Linked DNA regions of Styela clava. The protein of the gene in region 2 purifies or fractionates together with the protein of the main gene of each other region. This does not show direct contact. Links are inferred from orthologs where the notes say so. Each region holds a gene or a part of one and is shown on either strand. Other genes may lie near its edges. The genes, in order: 5'-3' exoribonuclease 1-like, enhancer of mRNA-decapping protein 4-like and enhancer of mRNA-decapping protein 3-like.

Region 1 (7,923 bases), on a different chromosome or scaffold from region 2:
TCCTTTAATTACTGAATTAAGCTTTTCGGTCCTTGTCCTTTTTAGCATTTAGAAAAGATGCTGATTGTCCTTTATTCTTTCCAACGTCGTTTTGCCCGGAGGAGTAAAAATCGCCTCCGTTTATGTATTTGCAAGCTTTGAATTATTCTTTTTAATTTCGCTTTAGTCCGGCTCAAATAGCCAAATAAATAACAATTTTATTAACATTGTTTGGGCCAATGTTAAATACACATTAAATGAAAAACACATGAAGATTGCTTCAATATATCTTTTTAGCTTGTATATAATTCTTATTTCATTGTTTATATTGTACTTTCCTGCAAGTTACAAAATAAATGATGACGATAATTTATGTCCTTTATTGAAACTTTTCATAGTTGGCAACCCTAAATGTATCCCTTTTTTATGAGATCAGGAGATTGACTCAACCCAGCGAACTTTTTTGAAGTTACCACCTTCAGACATTGTGACACTGTTAGTGTTTTTCCCATTGTACTGTATTATTTAGGAGGCGCATGTTCACAAGCACTTACGTGGTAATTCGTAAAGGTTAGCACTTCATCAGTTACTTTTTTTCTGTTACTTTGCATATGTCTTAATTAACTGTTATGAAACTTTGAGGAAATTCAGAAATTATCTGTTAGCTCTCAATGAACCCTTATTTTTGCAAACAACTCCACTGTCAGACTATACTCCTATAAGCTTTGTCAGCTTTTATAACAGTGAAATCAATCAATCATTTTGGTTCTCTGACATAAACAATACAAAAAGTAAACAGACAAACAAAATGCAGAGATACTTTGGAGACGGGCATAACTTGAAAAAAGTTAAAAAGTGTACAATGTACATGCCCGCCCAGCAAAAAAGAATAGAACAACCACAGAAAAACGTGATTTACAATCGGGCAGTACTTTAAAAGCAAGTTAACAAAAACAGCAAATTGAAGTGAATAATTGAATGTAATAAACTTCTACCTTTTAAATTGAAATGTGCGACGTGTATGGGCTATGGGTGCCATGCCAAGTGACACTACAGGACAATTCCCAGAAATTTTGCACGTTGTTAGATGCAATATATTTTTACATTTTCAGCTACATGTTTTTGTTTCATTGTCCAATCAATTGCTTCATTGAATACTGGAATATGGAAAAAATTGCACAAAAGTTACACACGAGACTTACTAAAAAATACAGTAAAATATAGCGTGACACTAGAGGACGGAAAATCCACCATGGATTAACGTTACATTGTGTTGTGCTGTAAATTTTTGTGATGGCACGGCAGGAGCCCATAATATTTTCTGGTGCAGTAGCTGAAGGACCCCCCTATGTGTTGCTCAAGTTACTTAATGTAACACTGTAAATCTATGCCAATAATGTTCATCTTGTATGTGACACTGCAGGACGTGACATTACAAGACATTTTTCCACTTTGGAACAGCGGCCTCTATCATCTCTTAAAATCCTGGTAATAAATCGTTAAATGGGTGAGAAAAAGCCCTAGAGCACTGCAATCATTTAAACTTTGTTAACTTAAATCCAGTGCGTCTATTTCATATGAAATAACTGTATCACACAAACACTTTGTGTCAGGAATCATCACGAAATATGTCAATTATACCAGAATTTCTACATTTCAGGCCATTATTTTTATAAACTATCAAAAACCTGGGTGAAATTTCAACTTTTTCGGTGAAATGGATGCAGTCCATGAATTTCTAATGTTTTTTGATATAAAAAAATTCAAAAAAATTACTTTCACTAAACTTTAGAAAAATTTGATGAAATTCAACTTTTGCTTGGAATGGCCCGTATGTGTAACACAACAGTGCTTTTCCTACGAAAAACATGGAACAAAAAACACTTCCTGATGCAAAATGGTGGTGCTGTAGGCCTAGGTCAATTTCATTGCAAAAACAACACAGTGACAAAAAATTGTTCCTAAAAAAACAAGCTTGGTAAATAGATTGAATGTTCCATAGCAGTCTATGCACAAGTCATGGATTGGGGAATCGGGTTCTTTTGTCGTTTTCGATTAGTTCAATTTAAAATCATTGTATCCGTTCCAATGCATCCAACGTCAATATCAAATTTCCACGAACGACCACTACTCCAAAAGGTGCAGTGGTCCCATCTTTTCTGCGCTCCCTTCCATCATCAACAACCAGTTTCATAAAAGGATCGAAACCTCGCAATATACCCGTAACAGATCGTCCACCATTTAACTTTAAATCCAATCTTTTATTCATAAATCATGGCATTGTTCTGATATTGTTTGCTTGCAGAAATATTTTTCCATTTCTATTTGCTTCACAAAATTATTGTTAAATAATGAAATAAACAGTACACTATATTTTAGTATTTTGGCATATTCCAAGTATTCACTCTTACAATAGTCTGATAGTGGTACCGCCTTTATATCCAGATATATTATACAAGTAGATCTGGAGAATGTATTTAATCATTCCTTACTTGTTTAGTTAGCAAAATATTTTTTTAGTAATTAGAAAATAGATAATCATGGAAGAAGCATTAAACAAGTTCGAAACTATGGTTGGATCGGCAGAGAAGAAATTGGACAATATTGAAAAGAAAATTGATGCTGAGTTTTCTAAACATTTAAATTGTGAAGATGATGATGACGATGATGCCGAGAATAAATTATCTCTTTTGAAAAAATTAGAAGAAGTCAAAGCAGAATATTCAACCTTGTGTAAAGAAGCGGCAGAAGTGAGCACAGCGCAAAGACAGATGGCTGAAGCATTTCAACAAGAACTTTTAGCTCAAGTTAAGCAGTTACAAATGCTCCAAGATCGTGGTTTTACTGGATCTGATAGAAGATTAGATGGTGACGCAGAAGCTGCTGTAAATACTTTTGTTCAAAAATCTGATGGACAAGATAGTAGTTTAATGCAAAGTGCAAATGAAACACGATGATACAGGTTTTGTTAACAGCAAACTATAATATAGCTTTGATAATAATGCACTTGGATCATTAAAATGTATCTCATTGTCACAAGACTGTCAAAGTAAAATGGAACGAAGATCTGGTGATATGCCTTGTACTGTTGTATGATAAGAGTTACATAGTACACTGCCAATAGAATAAAAAGTTCACTGAAGTCCTAAAATCCCTATGTAATTCGTGGATAAACTTCTATTTTACATGACATACGGTAAATGGATATTATCCACAAAAATGTACAATACAGTATATTTTATCAGTTATATGATAAAGTTAATATTGCATATTATGACAGAGAAACAATAACTACTGAACGTTTTCGAAGTGAATTCAAAATATTGTCAAAAGTAATTGATACGTTCTATGTTGGAACAATTTGTGAGATATATTTAGTTTTAAACTTAACTTCTATTATTGAATTATTGATAGTTTTCATGTAGTGGACTATTACGGTAATTGCTTCTCGCATATACTTTGGAGATCCAAACTCCATCTATACACTGTACAGACATCTGTACCCCAATACAGGAATTCCAAGAATAGTAAGATGGCCTTCTAAGCTACACTTTTGGGTATTATCAAATAATTTGAAATATTAATAATAGTCAATATATAGAAGTCTAATTTCATCAAGGTTTCAAGTTTGTGGTTGTTTGGAAATCTTACCTTTCATGATTTTTTCTTTTTGGCGTAGTAGCTATATACAAAGCTTTTATGAAGTGCTTTAACACTTCACACTTGATGTCAATTATCAACATTTACTGTAGTCTGTGTTATGTTCATGGACATCATTTTTGTCATAGGCACTATTGTGTTCACAGAGATATGTGAGATATGGGTGAGGCTCAATTCAATTGTTATCTGTGTTTTGTAACTGACAGTCGACAAAAATTTGAAGGTCATATTAAATTTCTTGAAACGCTGAACTTTTAGTCATGGTTATTTCAACATTCAATAAATGCCGGTTTTGTGTGTTTTTTTAACTACTTTCACTTATTTTTCATGATATTCATGAAGCGTTGGGTTTTACATTTTGTAATCAAACTAGGCTTTGATGACGAGAACATGGGTGTTTCCAAGTTTTATCGATGGATCAGTGTTGGATGTTATTTTTGTCATAGGCGCTATTGTGTTCACAGAGATATGTGAGATATGGGTGAGGCTCAATTCAATTGTTATCTGTGTTTTGTAACTGATAGTCGACAAAAATTTGAAGGTCATATTAAATTTCTTGAAACGCTAAACTTTTAGTCATGGTTATTTCAACATTCAATAAATGCCGGTTTTGTGTGTTTTTTTACCTACTTTTACTTATTTTCATGATATTCATGAAGCGTTAGGTTTTATATTTTGTAATCATATTAGGCTTTGATAACTAGAACATGGGTGTTCCCAAGTTTTATCGATGGATCAGTGAAAGATATCCGTGCCTCAGTGAAGTGGTGAAAGAATATCAGGTTTATTGCTATTAAGTTACTTATTATGATACTATGTTCAAATTTTCAAACTGCTATAGGAATAGCATATTGCCGTTGTCCAATAATATTGTGATGTATTAATATCAAAATCATGGTTTATCTTGTTGTGAATCAGAGAGTGACACAAAATAATATTGTAATAGCGTTTTGAAAAATAGATTTTTGGATTCACGCTGTGTCCTTGGTTAGAAAAATGCTAGCTAGTTGTCTATCTAGATCAGGAGTGTGCAACCTTTAATACAGGAGGGCCAGATACAAATAACTTGGTGAAACTGCGGGCTGCACCTGTATTTGACATAGGCTTTCTAGTAGTTGCAGGCACAAAATTCTTGATTATCTGATCTCATGACATGCGAACTACAAACTAGCTGTTAGTGCACTGTAACGTCATATGCTGGGCGTTGCAGCGCAAAGGGATTGGAATTACTTGCACTCACCAGATTAAACTAAATTAAAACTCGTTTCTCTGACCGCACATCATTCAAAATTGGAACTTCTCTGCGAGCCGCACAAGTTTTCCTTGTGGTCCGCAGGTTGCACACCCCTGATCTAAATCAATAGAATCTATTTGTTTGGATTATCCAATATGTATATTGATTCACTATTTGAATTTATTATTTTAGGTTCCAGAGTTTGACAATCTGTATTTGGATATGAATGGTATCATTCATGTTTGTTCACATCCAAATGATGATGATCCTCATTTTCGAATTACCGAAGAGCAAATCTTTAAAGATATATTTCACTATATAGAGGTACTTGCTGTGCAAATTCTTTACTTCAAAGTTCATTGTTTATTTCAGTCTGTATGATTGCGATGTCTACTATATTTGATATATAGCACATAGTATAATCTTAAAAAAGCGTCTAAAATGAGCAATTAACGTAGGATATGTTGACCAAAAAAGGGTTCTCTCCACTTTTTATAACCGTGTGTTGTTTTAAATAAAAACTCAATATAATTTTCTGTATTTTGACGAAATTTCTTTCTCTAAACTTGACCATATTCGGAAATATTCAAAATTTTCATACATAGACTTTATTCAAAACATATTTTATAGTATGGTGTTTACCAGCAAGCCTGCCATATGGACAGTGCCTTAAACTTCTTGACATTGGCTAGCTTTAAAAATAGAGATTGACAGAAAATGCTTTTGTATTAAAATTTCAATAAAAATCCTTTCAAAATTTCATGTATGTACAGGTTTTATTTCGTATTGTTCGTCCAAGAAAAGTGTTTTTCATGGCAGTCGATGGTGTCGCTCCACGTGCAAAAATGAACCAACAAAGAGGCAGAAGATTTAGGTTGCACAAATTATTCATGTTTACAATGTTTTTTTCTTTATTGCAAGTAATCCATGTAACCGTGTAACATTTGTTCAAGCAGAAGTTGTGTTGTATTACAGTGCTGCCATGTCCAAAACAAATAGAATATTTTTGATTACATTCAAAGCACACAGAGAAAACAATGACCTTTTATATTTGTGTCGTTTTAGATGTGATCAACAATGTAATTTCCGACATAAACTTTCCCCAATTTAGAATGTAGTCGATATTTCATATTCAGAAGTCATTTCTCTGAATGTATTCGAAATAGTAAAATATTCGGTTTTAGCCATCCCTGGCACTAACTCTTCCTGTCTGGTAGTCAGCATGGTCACAAAGAATCTATCTATATCAGTGGTTCGCAACTTTTTTCGATACATTCCTCTTTTTGCCTAGTCTGGCTAGGTTGCACAGTTTGAATAGGCTTTATAGTTTGTTCATAATTATGGATTACAAGGATATTGAATGAATGAACAATACTAGTAAAACTACATCGAATACAAAGTAATATTTTTGTATCTCCTTCCCGAAAACAACAAAAATTTCTCCCTGGAGATGAATTCTTTCTCGGCTGGGAAACACTGGGCGGGCTAAATAGTAGCTGATTTTATCTAATCATACTCTTTATTGGTATAGTGCTGACATGGGCAAACTACAGCCCGCAGGCCAAATCCGTTGGGTAATTTAATCCTGCCTGCCTGATGCTGCCACAACCAAACTAAAACCAAATTTTGATGTTTTAGCTAAAGATGAACTCAAGAAATTTGGTGAAATTTCGATTACATTTAGTTTTGGCACAAGCCCTATTGTTTTCCACATTTGCTTTTGTAACACTGTAAATATTGTTCATAAAATGTAACTTTTTACGTCACACTTAAGTGGCTCGTCAGTGTTGGTGAGCAAATATTTTGCCCCCCGGTCCAAAAACGTTGCCCACCCCTGGTATAGTGTGTTTAGGGAAAATTCAACTTATCAACTCTACAAGTTTCTCTATAAACTGAATGCTATACCTCTTTGACAAATCAGATCAGCCAAAGAAGCAGAAGAAAATATTCAAAAGGCATTGAAAAAGGGTGAAGTCCTACCTGATGCCAAAAGATTTGATTCAAATTGCATTACACCTGGTACTAAATTTATGGTTAAACTTCAAGAGCAACTTGAATATATGGTGAAGAGCAAAGTGACTACAGACCCAGCATGGCAAGGAATCAGGATTTATCTGTCTGGTCATGAGGTGTGTTGAAAATCAGAATTATCATATTTAAATTATGAATAATCTTTGTGGGTGCTCTTTATTGTGAAGGGTTGCCATGGCACGATACACATCTCTGGTTCAAATTCCATGACCACCATCTGATCCGGGGAAAGCTTTCGGTCTTTCCAAAAATAATAGCTCCTCACTAACGTTAGATATCGGTGGATGCTTGCACAGGGCATTTTTCAGAGGGAAACGAGTGAATATCTATGTTTGAAAATGTTACTAGATGTCATGTAGATAGACATTTACATATTCGTTTTTAGTTCTTCCATTATTTGACTAGATTTCATAATTTTTTGCGATGAGTGTCCTAATTGAGTGTACGAAATATTTTCGCATTTCATCAGTATTTCAAAGTGTATTTCGGCTCTGTTTTTTAACCCCCAACTTGCACTTTTACTTAAATACTGGTGTAGTAGATGCGCATTCTCATCCAAACATATCTTTCTATAATTATTTCTAACTTGTATCTTTCATTGCAGACGCCAGGAGAAGGAGAACACAAGATCACTGAATTCATAAGACATGAACGCATGCAATCTCACTATGATCCAAATACAAGACATTGTTTATATGGACTTGACGCTGATCTGATGATGTTAGGGTTGTGTTCACATGAACCTCATTTTTCACTACTCAGGTGATGAAAACATTTTTCATACTATTGCTAATATTGTTATCAATAATATTTTGTTTACCAATTGTTATGGGAGTATCGATTGATATTGATGCATTGTTTGTGTTGTTATTCATCATGATTTTGGTTTTTTAATCAGCTGATTTATTACTAGTTTGACTGTATTGGACATCGAAGGTTAAAAGATATCAGGGTCAAACCTTAGGCCATCAGCCTCACTCAAAATATAATAAATTGGATAGTCGATGCTGAACAAGAAA
Region 2 (8,631 bases):
ATGAGATTCCCTGAATATGGCCAAGCGCTACAATCGGCATTTCCGATGTTACAGGGTTTTCCATTGCGGTGCTGGCTGGGTAGAAATAGATAAATTCATGAAAATTTCCATGTTGCAACCGTCCCGCGGCACATCATTATAATTCGATGTAGCCTAATTAGAATTACCGCTAGGTCATTACATAAAACAAACTTTTTTGTAGAGGAATCATACAATTCAGGATACTACAACAGCTCTAGAGTGAAAGCTAGTCTTATATATATATTCATGTGAAATTCCTTTCCTATATAGGCTATACCAGTGGTTCGTTTCATTTCGTATTTTGGGGATTAGGAATTTACAAGTGGGTTTTTGCGTCTATAATACAATAGCGAAGGTTATCTCGCAGTCTAGTAAAACTACAGGTTAGACGGCCTACCGGGGAACTATTTTGACTGGTAGATTCCAAATTCCATTATGATCAAACAATTCATGCACAAGAAAATGAATACAATGGACCCCGCGATCTCAAATAACCTATTCAGGCAATGAAACAGTGGTGAACGCTGAACAGGGAATTTTATTTTCAACGGAAAGTATGCAAACAAAGTCGCTTTTTTTTCAATTATCAGCCATGTGTCGTGGCCCCCCTTGAACTGCTTTGTGGCCCCATTGGGGAGCCCCCGGCCCCGGGTTGAGAACCACTGGGCTATACCCAAGGCGATAGCTCTGTAAAACCAGTTCCAGTTCCACCAGTGGCCATTCTCATCGTCTTGTACTGATTAATTCAATTCATTAGGTTGTAATATTTGCACGGATGTGGCATTTTTGGCGCCAACAAAGATTTCAGGAACCTCGAGGCAAAAATAAACACTCTGTAGGTTTCAATTAAGATACTCTCTTGTTACCATATAAATTGCGATTGTGCTGCAGCCATCGCGTGAGATGCAGCATATGTCGCGATTCGCTGTAAAGCGAGATTGGCATTGTATTCACCACCATAGAATGCACAATTTCTATAATCAGAATTGTAATCATTGTCCACTCCATTCAAAGTTTTGGTGCCAAATGGATGTCTCACATTCTGTGCACTCGAAGCAGTCATGTGTGCACTGATTGTCGCACGTATTACAAGCATACATATTTTTTATGAATATGAAGTTATCTGCGTGGCAGGATGATGCTAAAATACATGTGAAATATATCGAATATGATAAAGACAAGGAATAAAGCGAGATATAATTCTCAAAGCTAAATTTAATTAAAATATTTGGCCTAAAGAATGGGATTCGGATTAAAGATTTTTGTCTGCCAATATTGAAGCGAATCATGTTTGGACCATTTTCTTAGATCAGGGTAGTTCAAGGATGTCGGCCTCGCGGGCCACATTATTCTTTTTGTATTGTTCGCGGGCCACAATAGTGCCAAGAATAGGTAAACAGTGCAATGGGCTACAAAACAAACATTTTCATTGTCCAAACACAATATTTATTATTTGTCATTTATCAAACTAGAACATGTAAAATCCACCAAAAAACTCAATAAAACGTGCAAAAATCTTACTATATCTACATTTAGTGTAAGATTTCAAACTCACGACAAAGAAAGTTTTACGTTTTAGTTGTTTGTTTGAATTAGTCATCTTTCTTTTCAAACCGATGTTTCCAAAATAACTCACTAATGACTGCAGATTGATTGATTGTCGAATTTTACCAAATTTGAGATACAGAAGGGTAATTAGCAAATTTTCTGGGCAAACATATGGGCAGCAAATTTTGTAATACTGTTTAGGTTGGTTGCGAAAAAACACCCGGCTAGAATTATATTGTTCGGCCATTACATTAATACCTAGTTATCAGACATAACCAACCAAGACTATTAGGTTCCTCGTTTGATTTTTAGTGTTTTATGAAGCCTATTTTGTTAGCATACATTCCCGACAAAAAAGGAAGCCAGTCTACAATATACACTAGCCGAGCAAACTATACAACTTCGATAGTTGCCTCAGCTAGCCATAACACTAGTCAATTCAGTAACATTAGTGATGTAACAATATGCTAAAAGTTTTTCTGGTTATTTTTATGAGTGTGATTTTTTGTTTTTCCTTGCGACGCGGGCCACAGATAATGAAGAGGTGGGTCACTTGTGAACCCGCGGGCCTGGGTTTGGACCACCCTGTCCTGGATTATTAACATCGCTCTCATATAAATTTTCTTCTAGAAAACCTATTCGAACGGTACAATCCCCACATTATAATTATACGCCGTAAAAACTTCCAATCTACCGACAACAAATTTATATCAGCTGTTTTACTGGGTTTCCTCTCGCCCGGGATGAATATGTACAGGTATATCCTATTCAATAAATAAAAAAAACGTGGTTCGCGTACCGGTAACCACTGATAGGTTACGGGTTCCTGCACCATCAAGTACACGCATCTGAAACTAATAACTGGTCAACTATTCCTACACCCGACATGAACTGGTAACCGGACTTGGGGCAGTGGTTTTCCATATGCTTGAGTCTTCTTATCGATATTCTTCTTCGCGAGATAAATATGAAAATCTTATTATACTGTAATATTCGCATTCATCTACAATCTGAACAACTGCCTGTTCTTAACGTTGTTACGAAAGTAGTGTTGTTCTTCATGAGCACCCACAAGATGTCAATCTCGTGCCTTCGGTTAAACATAAAACCGGCGCAGACAACGGATTTTTCGTTCGTTCAGTCGTTTGTCAATTTTGCGTCTGTCAATACTGCAATATGATTACCTGAATACCTAAATACAGGTAGGCTTGTGTCATTGTTTATATGTTCCGAGTTACTTCGTTTATTTCCATATCTAGCCTGCAGGCCTGATTCAAGAAAAGGGTGGTCGCAATACTCATTTGGGTAGTCTATCTCGTGTTTTGTTCTGCATTTTTTGTTGTACTTTCTTCAGTTCTTAGTTTCTTTTATTTGATTGTGTTTAATTAAGTACCGGTATATGTTTAATATTGTAATATTCATTCCTAAGTCATTCCCGTATTTTGTGTTATATTTTCTTTGTGCGATTGTGTTCATTTACAGAATTTTGGAATTAGGTTAAATGTGTACCGTAATATTCGGATATTGGCTCATTCCATTGCTATATTCAGATATTTGCTGCTACAATTCAGCTACAAGTTATTGCTGACTAGGTGACAGGACCCGTCAACTAAAACAAGCCGATATCTGTTTTTGTAATTCTGTAATTTGTGATATGTAATTAAATTATTTTTTCATAATGCTGTAATGTGTACTGCGCATAGGGCAGTAGGGCCATTGCCATACCCATACAGCCATAGGCCTACTCCAAAGACTGAAAGACAGCAAGAAACCGATTTTATTACTGGGAAACCGAAGTTACAATCTCTTTTTCAAACATAAATAACCAACCATATACCTGTATACTGATATAAAAATCACATCAATGTTTGGTAGCACTTGTACATGCAGACATGTATACAAATAAAGAACTATGTTTTGTAATTACTTATGAACTCTGACATTCTGGATTACTGGTACTGATGTTCAGTAGAAGTGTGTCTGTGTGTTTACTCCAAATAGCCGAAATAAGCAAGAATATGTGTGACACCACTAGTACTGTAGTAATTAATGGGTCTGGTATAATTTAGTACCTCACGTACTTCTGTAGCCTACTTCTAGTTGACCTGTCCCAACAATTTTTGCGTATGTCATTCCTAACCCCCACCTGACTATGTCATCCACATCCAAAAATTACGTCACTACGTCGTCACAATGACGTTATAAGGCCCGCTCACTGGAAGTACTTGTGGTAATAAACTATACTAGACCCCAATATTATCTTGTGTAGCTGTGCAGTTTTGTCTTTCAATTGTGAATGGAAAATAGGGTACGGCTGTACTGGTATCATGGATTGCAAAAAAAAGTTGTTGACATTGCTTCATGTGTATAAAGCAGAAAAAAATAATAATTCCAGATGGAAGATGGATTTCATCATAATCGAGTCAGTACCACATATATAATGTGTGTGTCTTATATGTATTTAAACTGTAAATACAAATAATGTACAGATAATAATGTTCCACATTGACTTTAAAAAAGCATTTGGTATGTTACCCCATAGCTGCAGTCCCTCAAGAAAGCTTTGTTGAAGCTGCTGACGCTTCCTCTGCAAATGTTTAATTCAAACAGATCAGTTTTGATTAAAGTCTATTGCCCTGGAAAGAAAGTTTGGGGTCTACCTTAGTGCCTACTCACTGCCAAGTGCTGAAGTGATACATAATCATTCGAAACTTATCAAAAACGAATTATTTTATAACATTGCCATTTTTTTAAAAATAAATTGTTTTGGTCTTCTGTCATTATGGACAGACACAAAAATGTGACTTGAGCAAGCTAATTTGATTCCACTAATGTGGCGAATTATCTCTTGATTTCATACTTTACAAACCATTGTTTTGCTCCATCATGGAGTAATGGTTTAAAATTGGTCGCATGCAGAGGTTTCAATAATCTTTTAACTTTCCTCAGAGAAGAGTTGTGTAGGTATGGGTATCTCTGCATTTGTTCAGTCACATATTCAATTTTTTCCAGGGAATTTTGTAAGCTAATTAATTACTTAGCTGCTATCTTGAATATATAAACTGAACTTCATTTCTCAAACAAATTACACTCAGTCAATTACATATGAGAATTTCACTATTAATTCTTGCAAAATAGCTAACATTGTGATACATCCATGTGTGCATGTTGAAAAACATGTTTGCTATTTTTGTAATGCAATAATCAGTGACTTTTCGAAGCCGAGTAAAATGCTTCTTTTTAATAACTGCTGATATATCAATATATATTTGGATCATCATCTTACTTACATACATTGCCTTGATTAAATCTATTCCTTGACATTATTTGAATCTTGAATTGAGCAGTTCAAACAAAATAATAACAAATTAATTAATGGATCTTTCAAATGGAAAAGAGGAGGAATCTGCAGATGTTCTCACTAACCAACTGAAAGGAATGTTGAAAATTAATGGAAATTCGGGAGGTCAGTATTTAATAAGATTAAATATAGCCAGTGATGCAATTCAAAGTTTTAAAAAAAAATTTTGTGCTAAACTCTGGTTTCCTTATTTCAAAAAATGTATGTGTCACTAGTTTCAATGTAAGCTACATTAATATCATGGCATGCTTCACATAAATAGGCTATATAATTTTTTATAAGTGTAACACAAGTCCTCTTACAAAATGCAATTGAGAAAACTGCAGCATAACTATATCTGTTTTCAGATTCTGAAATTCAAGAATCAGAACCCTCACCTAAAACAGAAAATTCTGAAGTCGATTCAAAGAAGGTAAAGTGGCAATACTCAAAATAATAAAATTTATTTTAGTCATATCTAAGTATGTTATAATCAAATAAATTGCTCATGTTATATATCTGTAATATGGGATTTGATTTTGAGAATTGAACAACTTAATGATTGAATATTCTCACAGATATTTGTTATTACAGGATGCTGTGGAAGAAGAACCTTCCGGATCATTGGATGTGGGTGGTTCTCAAAGAATGTAAGTAAGACTGAGAAAATATAGTTCTATTTTATATATATATATGTATAGTCATTCCATTTAAATGACAATTGTAGTATATACAGTTTCATTTTCTATTTTGATATATCCACATAAGTGCACTCCAGAAGTGTGTGTACCAATATGGAGGTAACTAATTTTGTTTGCCTGATTACATCAAGTTGTGTAGAGGGACTAGAGCTTATGGGCAGGGGGTATATTCACTTGGCTAACACAGACAGTCCCCGAACTCTTAATAGAACTAAAATAAGCAAAATCGGACTAAAAGTATGGTGTAACCCTAACCTGGTACACACACTACCCACATAAGGGCACTTGTGTTTCAATCACATCATGATAAATTTACAGGAACATTATTAAATCATTCATACGAAATCCTACATATGGCTCGTTATCTACTTCAAGGAAAACCTACTTAATGCAGCTTCCTTTTGATATTGCCTAATTGTATTGATTCCTAATTGCTGGATTCAGTGCTTTGACTTTGGTATATTTGATTAAACCATTTAAAATTGATTTTGCATGGCATATTAATGTTTTATATAGTTTTATAATATGATAGTCTTTTTGCAGTTCTGTATAACTGGAAATTTTAATGTGTAAATATCATATTCTGAAAAAATGTACGCCATTAGGTATGAATATTAAATATTGTAGTATGCTTTTCAAGTCAGTTTCCAAACGAGTTGAATTTCAATACATGTGTCTAAAAAAATATCAAATTTAGTATTCTATCACTGCCATTCTGTTCTGACATGAGAATACGCAATTTTATCCATATATAAATATATTTCATTTGTATATCATTTAGTGATCTGTCCCAAGTAAAAGATGGTGAATGCGTTTCCATATATGGTGATCAAGTCTCAATAATAACAAGCGGAAATGCCGATATGGAAGCAGATACCTCTGGAAGTGACAAGGTGCGAAGTTTAGTTATTATCTGCAATCTTGCTCCCTGTGATATTATTTATCATATTTTTTGATTATCATTGATTTTTTTCAGGTCAGAATTAGTCCAATCACAAAGTTTGAATGGGAACACAAATATTATCCTGGAACATTGGTATCCGTAACAAACGACTATACAGCATATGCTATTAAAAGTATGTTTTCATTATATGTTTATGAATTTGTGAGACTCTGATGTAATTTGAATTTTATTCGTATATTGAAATTTTGAAAATTGTTTAGGTCGATCATATGCAGTTCGTGTCATTAGTCGGAAAAACACATCGGATCGTTTGTTACTACGTGGATTTACTGCTCCAGTGTGCGATGTTGCTTTTGCTCATCCGACATCTTCTCTCATATCAGCAGTTGATGAAGAAGGAAATTTTATAATTTGGCAACTATCACAAAATGGGGACAGCACTATGTATGTCAACAATAAGTGCTTGAATATCAAGCAATTTCTGTAACGTTTCGCCTGACCAAAATCAGACTTCCTCAGGTGTGAGGAAGTCTGATTTTGGTCAGACGAAACATTACAGAAATAAATTTGTGTTAGTGTGCAGCAGGACTCAGCATGGTATTTTTATTCTTGCCACAGCATCCTTGCATTATATGCATACACTAGTACAAATGCATTGAGAAAGGATTGGGAGTTAGTCTTGTGCAATCTCTACTGATAGTTATAATTTCTATTACTAATAATATTTAGGTCTACGAAAAAACTTCATGTGAAGTCTTCAGATCCGAGTGCTAGCCCGTATCACAGATTAGTATGGTTAACATACATGCATTGTGAAATAGATGGCACTAATCCGGAAGAAGAATTATTGAAATTAGATGATGACACGGAGGCTGATCCACTAAATCAGAGGAGACTTCTTGTTGTCACTCATGGAAATATTGTGAGTTTAGTGTTGATTTCTTGCTCATATTGATGATATTGAGGGTTTTAAGGCAAAATAATAAAAATTGAAATTTCAAATTTTTTTTGAATATCTCCAAAGAAATAGGTGCTATAGTTTGAAGCAATATTCACCAAAGTACCCCAAAATCACAAATAAAATTTTTTTTTATTGGAATGGCTTTTTCAAAATTCTATAATATATTGACTAGTGATATAATGATATATGGCCAAGTTTATAATTAGATTTTAGCATTTTTAAATGTTACAAACAAAATTGTGCAAACTTCGAAATCAAAACAAATCTAAAATAATATCATGCATAATATAGATGATTTTCATTCTCATTTGTAAGTAACCTTTAATCTTATTATATTTGTATACTAATATTCAATTCTATTCAGGTTGAAATATGGGACATTAATTGTGCATTTGAAATAGCTCACGATGATGAAAATGAAACTGACAGATCAAAATTGTCATCAACATTTATGACAATAAAGGGACATGATGATGTAAGAGAGAATAATAACTTGATATTTTAGTATTTTCCTTTCAAAATTGAATTACAGTAGCTATATAGACTGGCGCAGTGTGTTGATATTGTAATATTTGTACTATTTCGTTTTGTCTATTTCTGGCAACACTGCCTGTTAACTTCTTTCATTGTTATTGTTTTACGCTTCATTGATTTTGTATCTGCTGCTGGCTTGGGATGATTGCAGCATGGGTGCTGTGCAAGCTAATATATATCTATTCTGATCGTGTAATATAAGGTTGTATTATATGATAATAGTCGAATTAACATTGGTAGCAGAGGAAAATGACTGCAAAACAACTTCAACCACCAAAGTTTGGTGAAGATTTGACCTACATGGAGTGGGTAAATAAACTGGACATGTGGAAAGCGGTGACTGAGATACCGGTGAAAAAACAAGGAATTTTGGTGCGACTTTTGTCTTTAGATGGCAATTCTAAAGCTGAAAAGGCTGTTTCTGATCTAACAGCGGATGAACTGAATGTGGATGATGGTCTAAGCCTACTTATTGAAAAATTGGATGTTGCTTTCAAATCAGAGAAGACTGATTTAGCCTATGATGCATATACTGCATTTAATTCCTACACTAGGCCAGCCGGTCTAGCAATGGCTGATTATATATTAGAATTTGAGCATTTGAATTCTAATTTGGTAAAGT
Region 3 (8,233 bases), on a different chromosome or scaffold from region 2:
TAAAGAGGAGGTTATAGAAAGGTAAAAGTTGTGTAAAGTAGAATTCAAAGAGAATGGTGTATTTTTACTTTGGATTTTTTGTTTTGGACGGTTAAAACATATTCTCAATTAAATGTACTTTGCTACGCTAAAAATACTTACACTCGCATTGTTACCATTTTGTGAAATAGTTGGTCTATCCATGTCGGGAAGAAAAAAAAAATTTTAAAGTTTATACCACCTGGGCTTTTTGAAAAAATACCGCTTTTGACACAATTTTTGACGAGCTTATTATTTCACTGTCCTATATGGCGGCATTGTAAATAATTAAAAGTATGACTCGCTCGAATCTACTTTTAGAAAGCATTTTAATACTAACGAAATCTATTTAATGGGAAGAGGAATGCTAACCACAAATTTTTAATAATATAAATCTTTTGAGGGGAATTTGAAATTCGAATATTCAAAGTATGTTACTCTCAATTAATTCTTAAGAATTGAAAGCCGAATTGAAACACCATATATATTTAGAAGAAGAAGAAGGACTTTACCTTAGTAACAGTTCATTGTTTTCATCAGTTCGTTTTTTGATCAGGTTTTCCACCTCGAATATATATATATATCATGTTCTATGAGAGTTCATTTCGATTGTTCGACAACACAGTCCATATTCATAATTTTAACGTTTCCATATTTTATTCGATTTAATTCATTGTTTCGTCATGATGTTTTGATTGTTCCGGCTTGTCAGCAATTTGATCCTTGAACGCTTTTGATGTGTATATATATGGTTTCTCATCAATCGTTGAGAGCTGCGGAAAGAAAACAGAGATATTAGATCAGCATGGGCCCCAATTTACGACTAATATGGTAGATGATGGAAAGGAAACTTATCTTTCGCTTGGTCAGCTTTTTGGTTGATTTCGTCAAATTGTTGCCTGTCCTGGTGTTGTCCGTACTTGTGGTTGAAACCGGTGATCCGGTCTGTTTCAGAAGGTTAATTCCAGTCGGTTTTGTCACCATTTATAGTGATTTGTTACCACTACACATAAATTGTTTGTTGACTGATCATCTTTGCGGATCATGACCCCAGTATTGACTGACAATAATTTTGTCTTGCGTTCGTTAACTCGAACTGTACATCTTTCGATAGCCTTCGGCCGTGGTAAATTGACGTTTGAAACACCCTATGAGTTTTATTCGTATATAGCAGTAATCTATGGATGATAGAAATAAATTCTGAGATACATATTGTTAAACTACTTCCGTAACAGACAATAAAATAGATGAATATGTAATCCCATATTTGATGTTAGTACGATGTTAGTTGGCATATATAGGTGGGTCAACAGCTACTAGACTACAGTCACTCTTAAGTAAGTTAGGCATTTTTGATACCAATTTTTCACAAAGTATGCAAACACCACATCATTTGATGGGATGCATGTCGCGCATATTTGTCTTAGGCCAGTAAGGTATTGAACATGTATCCCGTCTTAATTATTTTGTAGATACTGTTACAAATAAACACACATACATTTTACCTTGAATTCATGCTAAGAACAGGCCGAACTACTGTTAACGAGCAAAAAATTCCCCTCGTTTGTTTGCAAGCACTTCGGCGCGTTAAAGAACTTTAGTAAATACCAACGACTGGTGAATACCGATTCTCGGTAAAATGATAGAAGAAGGCACTTTACGAGACGTCTGTTTTGGCGCGCAAAAAAATCTCTCGAATATTAACGATACTTCGAGAATACCACTTTTGCCTTTTACGAGAAAGTGGGTGCTCTACTAACACGTTACGGTTAAACGATAAAGAAGTTGGGCGAATGGGGCCCCAGGTCGAGTATGGGATTAGTTAGCCAGTTTTTTTGTTTTCGGAAGCATGGACTTGATGGTGGAGGAAGCCGTAACGGACCATCGGTTACGTGAACCACCCTACGGCGGTGAGGAGTCCAGCAATCTTCTCGCACATTGTCATCCTGCATGGGATTCGAACCTGCGAACCCACGAATGGTAGTCAGGTGGGAGTTAGGAATACCATATGCAAATATGTTTGTGCCACATCAACTAAAAGGAGGACGGACTAAAAGTAGGCACTTGCAAATTAGGCACTTTTTTAGGCACTTATTAGACACTTTGGAAAAAAAATAAAAAGGGCGTAATACCTTTTAAAAACATAATTAATTAGTTAAAAATGGTCAAATGAAATGTTGAAAACGCAAATTGCAACGGGCAAACTCAATAACAATATTTAAAACGTAGTATTAAAGGCAGTCGCACGCGCTTGGTCACTACATATGCTAGGCACATATTTAGGCACTTCGAAAAATAAAGAAAATGGCAATTATCTCTAATAAAAGACAGAGACATAAACATATTACCCACACTGATTAGCCTGGGTAAATATCCAATAGATGCACTTGAGTCTAGTACTGGAATTTAGAAATAATAAATTGTTACCGGTAGGCACTTATTTAGGCACTTCGGAAAAAAGGTGAAATGGACGTAGTAGCTCCTAAAAAGGTAATGAATTAGTTCAAAATATTTAAATTAAATGTTGAACGCGAAAACTGCAACAGTTAAATCCAATAACGATTTTTAAAACGTAGTATTAAAGGGAGACGCACGCGCTCTGTCTCCACGTATGCTAGGCACATATTTGGGCACTTCGAAAAATAAAGAAAATGGCAATTATCATTAATAAAAGACAGAGAAATAAAAATATTACCCACACTGATTAGCCTGGGTAAATATCCAATAGATGCACTTGAGTCTTGTACCGGAATTTAGAAATAATAAATTGTTGCCGGTAGGCACTTTTTTAGGCACTTATTTAGGCACATCGAAAAAAAGGTGAAATGAGCGTAATAACTTTTAAAATGATAATTAATTAGTTGAAAATTGTCAAATTAAATATTGAACACGCAAATTGCAATGGGTGAACCGAATAACAATATTTAAAACGTAGTATTAAAAGGAGTCACACGCGCTCGGTCACCACATATGCTAGGCACATATTTAGGCACTTCGAAAAAAGAAGAAAATCGGAATTATCACCAATAGAAGATAGAGAATTCATTATTCTAGGAGTTACTACGGCCATTTCACCTTTTTTTCGAAGTGCCTAAATAAGTGCCTAAAAAGTGCCTACCGGTAACAATTTATTATTTCTAAATTCCAGTACTAGACTCAAGTGCATCTATTGGATATTTGCCCAGGCTAATCAGTGTGGGTAAAATTTTTATTACTCTGTCTTTTATTGGTGATAATTCTGATTTTCTTCTTTTTTCAAAGTGCCTAAATATGTGCCTAGCATATGTGATGACCGAGCGCGTGTGACTCCTTTTAATACTACGTTTTAAATATTGTTATTCGATTCGCCTATTGCAATTTGCGTGCTATACATTTAATTTGACAATTTATAACTAATTAATTATTATTTTAAAAGTTATTACGCCCATTTCACCTTTTTTTTCAATGTGCCTAAATAAGTGCCTAAAAAGTGCCTACCGGTAACAATTTATTATTTCTAAATTCCAGTACTAGACTCAAGTGCATCTATTGGATATTTACCCAGGCTAATCAGTGTGGGTAATATTTTTATTTTCCTGTCTTTTATTAGTGATAATTGCCATTTTCTTTATTCTTCGAAGTGCCTAAATATGTGCCTAGCATATGTGGTGACAGAGCGCGTGCGTCTCCCTTTAGTAATACGTTTTAAAAATCATTACAGTATTGGGTTTAACTGTTGCAATTTTCGCGTTCAACAATTAATTTAAATATTTTGAACTAATTCATTATCTTTCTAGGAGTTACTACGTCCATTTCACCTTTTTTTTCGATGTGCCTAAATAAGTGCCTAAAAAAGTGCCTACCGGTAACAATTTATTATTTCTAAATTCCAGTACTAGACTCAAGTGCATCTCTTAGATATTTACTCAGGCTAATCAGTGTGGGTAATATGTTTATTCACTGTCTTTTATTAGTGAATATGCCATTTTATTTATTTTTCGAACTGCATAAATATGTGCCTAGCATATGTGGTGACCAAGCGCGTGCGACTGCCTTTAATACTGCGTTTTAAATATTGCTATTGAGTTTGCCCGTTGCAATTTGCGTTTTCAACATTTAATTTGACCATTTTTAACTAATTAATTATGTTTTTAAAAGGTATTACGCCCTTTTTACTTTTTTTCCAAGGTGCCTAAATAAGTGCCTAATTTGCAAGTGCCTACTTTTAGTCCGTCCCAACTAAAAGTACGGTACTTACCGCTTTTAGTGAACCTGCGACGACTAAACTGGGGGCGGGTCTCATGTAGTTTCGTACCTAACGTACTTCTAGTAGGCGTAGCATAACAATTTCTTCACATCTCAATCCTAACCCCCACCTGACCCCACCATCCCAAAATTACGTCACTACGACGTCACAGTGACGTAATAGAGCCCTTCAAACTATGCGAACTGTCATCCAAGACGCGCAGACGAGAACCCGAAATCGAACAGCCATTTCTCTCGTTTTCTCCTCGCAACGATCCCGATAGGAGAGAGATCGCTGACGTTAGTCATTTCTTTATCGTCGGCGCCGATGCTATTTCGGGCGATCGTATGAGTATTTGGCAAGCTCTATGACGTGATTGTGACGTCGTAGTGACGTAATTATCGGATGGCGTAGTCAGGTGAGGGTTAGGATTGGCATGTCAAAAAATTGTTATGCTACACCTACTAGAAGTACGTTAGGTACGAAACTACACGAGACCCCTGGGGTCTGGTGTACGGTACGGTAACATTAGCGAAGTCAGACTGTACGGTGTAGGTCTCTGTGCGTTTATACTTTTGGACGGACAACTCACCAGCGACACCAGGCTTCTGCCTCTCACTCTCAGCCTTTCTGTAATCGAGTTGTCGTCTCTGGTGTTGCTTGTTTACTCAGTTGTCCGTCAGCCTCATACCGTAGATCAGTAGATTGAAAAATTGTTTCATTTTTTGAAAATATTGATGTACTGTATTTTATGATAACAACACAGACATAGTTATTCAATATCTGTATATGCATTTTTACGTTTTGGATTTTTTTCTTTTTCCTATAGCCTAATGCTTTACCGGTATATGATTATAATATTTGAATATACTTTAATTGATTGATTGAACTTGGGAATGTTATTTTTTCATTTACATGATCATTTGATGGATACATTGATTTTGTAGGCCCTATAGCCTAGTTCTCTTCCAGTGTTCAGAAACCGAAAGTCATGACATCTTACGTTGGTTCCAATGTTACAATAAACTGTGGGGATGTAATAGGTCATTGTCAGGGAATCGTGAAAGAAGTAGACCAAAAATCACAAACAATTACAATTTCCAATCCATATCGAAATGGTTTTAAATGCCCACATAATGAGATGACAATTCCGTCGTCTGATATCGTAGAAATCACCATCATTGATGGCCTTCTTTCAACATTGGAAACTAAGGATAAGAAATCCCCAAAAATTGGGTTATCAAGTGTAAAAAAAGAAAAAAGGCCTAAAAACAATGAAAGCCGACAAGTTGGTATTACAGATAGAATACCAATGCATTCTAGTTCACCACAACCTGGCTCGGAGTATAAAGGTGGGAAAAAGTATTCAAAAGTACGGAAGGGTTTATATAATCGGGATGACGATACGTTTGATAACAACCCGCAAGATATGACTGAAGATTTCGATTTTGTCAAGAATCTTGCTCTTTTTGATAAACTTGCTGTATACAATGAGATAAACTCTGGAAGTGATGGAGAAAGTATGAGAACTCCATCAAAACAGAGACATAGAAAGGTTGAAGAGAAATACAAGCATGACGAGTTCGTTCTACAAAAAGGGCCTGTAATATACCGACAAATAATAACAAATGAGGTGACCAAATACGAAGTTTCAGAATATTACACAGATGCAGGACTTGTAGTTCCCACTATTTCAAATGATACCTACATACAAATATTGCATGCTGCTGAACTTATGGGTTTCGGAATGGATAGACAAACTGAAATATTTGGAGCTAATGCAAGTCTCATGGCTCTATCTGTATTGGGTGGCTGTAATAGGCTTCATCCAAGAAATTCACATCAGCCCCCATCTGCAGTTGTAATGTGTGGGCCTCATAGAACAGGTGCTCAAGGTGTTGCAACAGCGAGGCATCTTTCAAATCATAATGTAAAAGTGAATGTGTTCATGCCCAATTTTGTTAAAATACATGCTTGCCTACAAGAAGAATTAAGACTATTGTCTCTAACAGATGCTGTTGTTATTAGCGAATATTCTGAATTACCTACAAATCCTGTTGATTTAATCATTTCTGCGATGGATGAAGAAGATTGTGAATTTTTATATCAGCAATCTTGGTATCAACATTCCGTTCGTTGGTGTAATGAAAATCGAGCTCCTTTAATGTGTCTCTCTCCACCAGCTGCATTACCTCCAGATTTGCATATAAAATGGTCTGTGTGTGCAGTACTGCCTTTTTCACTTTCAGCAAAATATGGTGCTTTATACATGATTGATGTAGGAATACCAGTGAGAGCATTTGAAAAACTAGGAATTCAGTATCAGTCGCCTTTCTGTGGTAAATCTTTCCTTCATTTACACAAAAGTAAATGAGAAATGTACAGTACTTGCTTTTTTAATCTTTTAAATGCATTTTGTACCGGTATAAATGTGAGTGTGACCTTGGTCATTCGTATATTAAAGGTTTACCATCTCTTGGAAAATGTGCTGGTTAAATAAACATATTTGTTTTTTTTTTGCTCCTTCATTCCATTTCTCAATTTTTATCTTCCTTTTATTAATCTCAATATTGGAGAAAAGGGTTGACAGATGATAATATGGCACCTTGTAAAGGTTTTTATGAATGTTTGATAACCAAGCAAGACTCCACCCAACTATATGTGTGTGGATGGAGAGTCCAAAAGATCACCACTAGTCCACACTGCAGCTAAATATAAATACGATGCCATCAGCATATTAAAAATATCCATCTCAAGAAATGACATTGCAATGTTTGGTACTTGACTACAGTGTATAAATAAACAGTTTGCTGAAGGGAATTTACTTATTTCTCCTTGAAATATACTTACAGAATACAGAAAAAATCTCATCTAGTAATTTTGTTATAAACTTGGTCATTGTTAACGCCTATATTGGGGATCATTTTTTTGCTTTAACAAACCATTTTTGCCATTTAATTTATTCATTCCACCCTTTTCTGTAGATTGATTGTATTTATAAAATGCTGTAGTAAATGAATGAAGAATTTCTACTACCGGTACTTGTTTTTTTGAACTGGTCAGTTTTAGCCAGTATTGGGTACTTACAATGTATCACCTAGTTCAATACTGATTTCTTTGACAAAATTCCATTTTCTACAGTTGTTTTTGTATGACAATGTTCATCTAATGCTATTTTCATTTTTCTGTAGATTTATTATGGGTTTTTTAAAGCTAATTTATAATGCTGAACTAGTTAGTACCTTGTAAATAGTCGATGTTCCATCACAATGAGGATTCACTTTAGACGTCCAGATTTTTCCGGAATAAAATTGAGATGGAGATATCTGAAACTATGTTACCTATCATTGACTTATAACACCTATTCATCTGCAACAGAAGTCCTTTTTGAGCCCATCATAACTCTAGTGGATTTTGTTTCAAGATGGTTTGGTTTCGCCTTTGTTACATTGGTGACAATACTGGTTGCATATGTTGTTGTGGTTTATTACTCAATTGCAGTACCATATCTCATCTTAGCATTTTCATCAATACGAGCTGGAATAACTATTTTCTACGGACATTATCTTCTAATCATGATTAGTTTTCATTATTTTAAAGCAGTCCGTACCAATCCAGGAAGACCACCCAAAGATGCTTCAGAGAGAGCAGTAACATCTGTATGCAAAAAATGCATTCTGCCAAAACCACCAAGAGCACATCACTGCAGTGTTTGCAAAAATTGTGTTTTAAAAATGGATCATCACTGTCCATGGATCAATAATTGTGTGGGTCATTATAACCATCGATATTTTATATCATTTTGTATATTCATGTTACTTGGTACCATATTTGTGGTAACAACAACATGGCCAATTTTCACAGAATGTTTTAGTTTTCATAACAGAATGCAATTCGCCATGGATTATTTAAAAGATTTTTTTATTGAGGATATTTCTGATGATGAGAATGAAAATTTAGATTATATGAATGAAAATCAATCAAGTTTAA

What was found.
Region 1: the proteins of enhancer of mRNA-decapping protein 4-like (region 2) and 5'-3' exoribonuclease 1-like purify together in Homo sapiens (co-immunoprecipitation; 4 studies listed by BioGRID and IntAct, with this or other methods). This does not show direct contact. The link is inferred for Styela clava from reciprocal best matches to the Homo sapiens genes EDC4 and XRN1.
Region 3: the proteins of enhancer of mRNA-decapping protein 4-like (region 2) and enhancer of mRNA-decapping protein 3-like purify together in Homo sapiens (affinity purification with mass spectrometry; 6 studies listed by BioGRID and IntAct, with this or other methods). This does not show direct contact. The link is inferred for Styela clava from reciprocal best matches to the Homo sapiens genes EDC4 and EDC3.

Annotation. Positions count from the first base shown.
Region 1 is NC_135252.1:5,381,753-5,389,675, forward strand, and holds the start of 5'-3' exoribonuclease 1-like, read left to right. Parts: upstream 1-4,126; 5' UTR 4,127-4,346; coding exon 4,347-4,421; intron 4,422-5,065; coding exon 5,066-5,197; intron 5,198-5,646; coding exon 5,647-5,747; intron 5,748-6,794; coding exon 6,795-7,002; intron 7,003-7,508; coding exon 7,509-7,666; intron 7,667-7,923. Other genes in the region: uncharacterized protein LOC144420883, read left to right, coding at 2,520-2,936. UniProt on the Homo sapiens protein: Major 5'-3' exoribonuclease involved in mRNA decay. Required for the 5'-3'-processing of the G4 tetraplex-containing DNA and RNA substrates. The kinetic of hydrolysis is faster for G4 RNA tetraplex than for G4 DNA tetraplex and monomeric RNA tetraplex.
Region 2 is NC_135262.1:19,088,953-19,097,583, reverse strand, and holds the start of enhancer of mRNA-decapping protein 4-like, read left to right. Parts: upstream 1-4,884; 5' UTR 4,885-4,944; coding exon 4,945-5,035; intron 5,036-5,277; coding exon 5,278-5,342; intron 5,343-5,503; coding exon 5,504-5,559; intron 5,560-6,391; coding exon 6,392-6,503; intron 6,504-6,586; coding exon 6,587-6,686; intron 6,687-6,774; coding exon 6,775-6,958; intron 6,959-7,243; coding exon 7,244-7,436; intron 7,437-7,839; coding exon 7,840-7,950; intron 7,951-8,631. UniProt on the Homo sapiens protein: In the process of mRNA degradation, seems to play a role in mRNA decapping. Component of a complex containing DCP2 and DCP1A which functions in decapping of ARE-containing mRNAs. Promotes complex formation between DCP1A and DCP2.
Region 3 is NC_135253.1:11,259,735-11,267,967, forward strand, and holds enhancer of mRNA-decapping protein 3-like, read left to right. Parts: upstream 1-4,794; 5' UTR 4,795-5,234; coding exon 5,235-6,617; 3' UTR 6,618-7,435; downstream 7,436-8,233. Other genes in the region: palmitoyltransferase ZDHHC16-like, read left to right, coding at 7,513-8,233. UniProt on the Homo sapiens protein: Binds single-stranded RNA. Involved in the process of mRNA degradation and in the positive regulation of mRNA decapping. May play a role in spermiogenesis and oogenesis.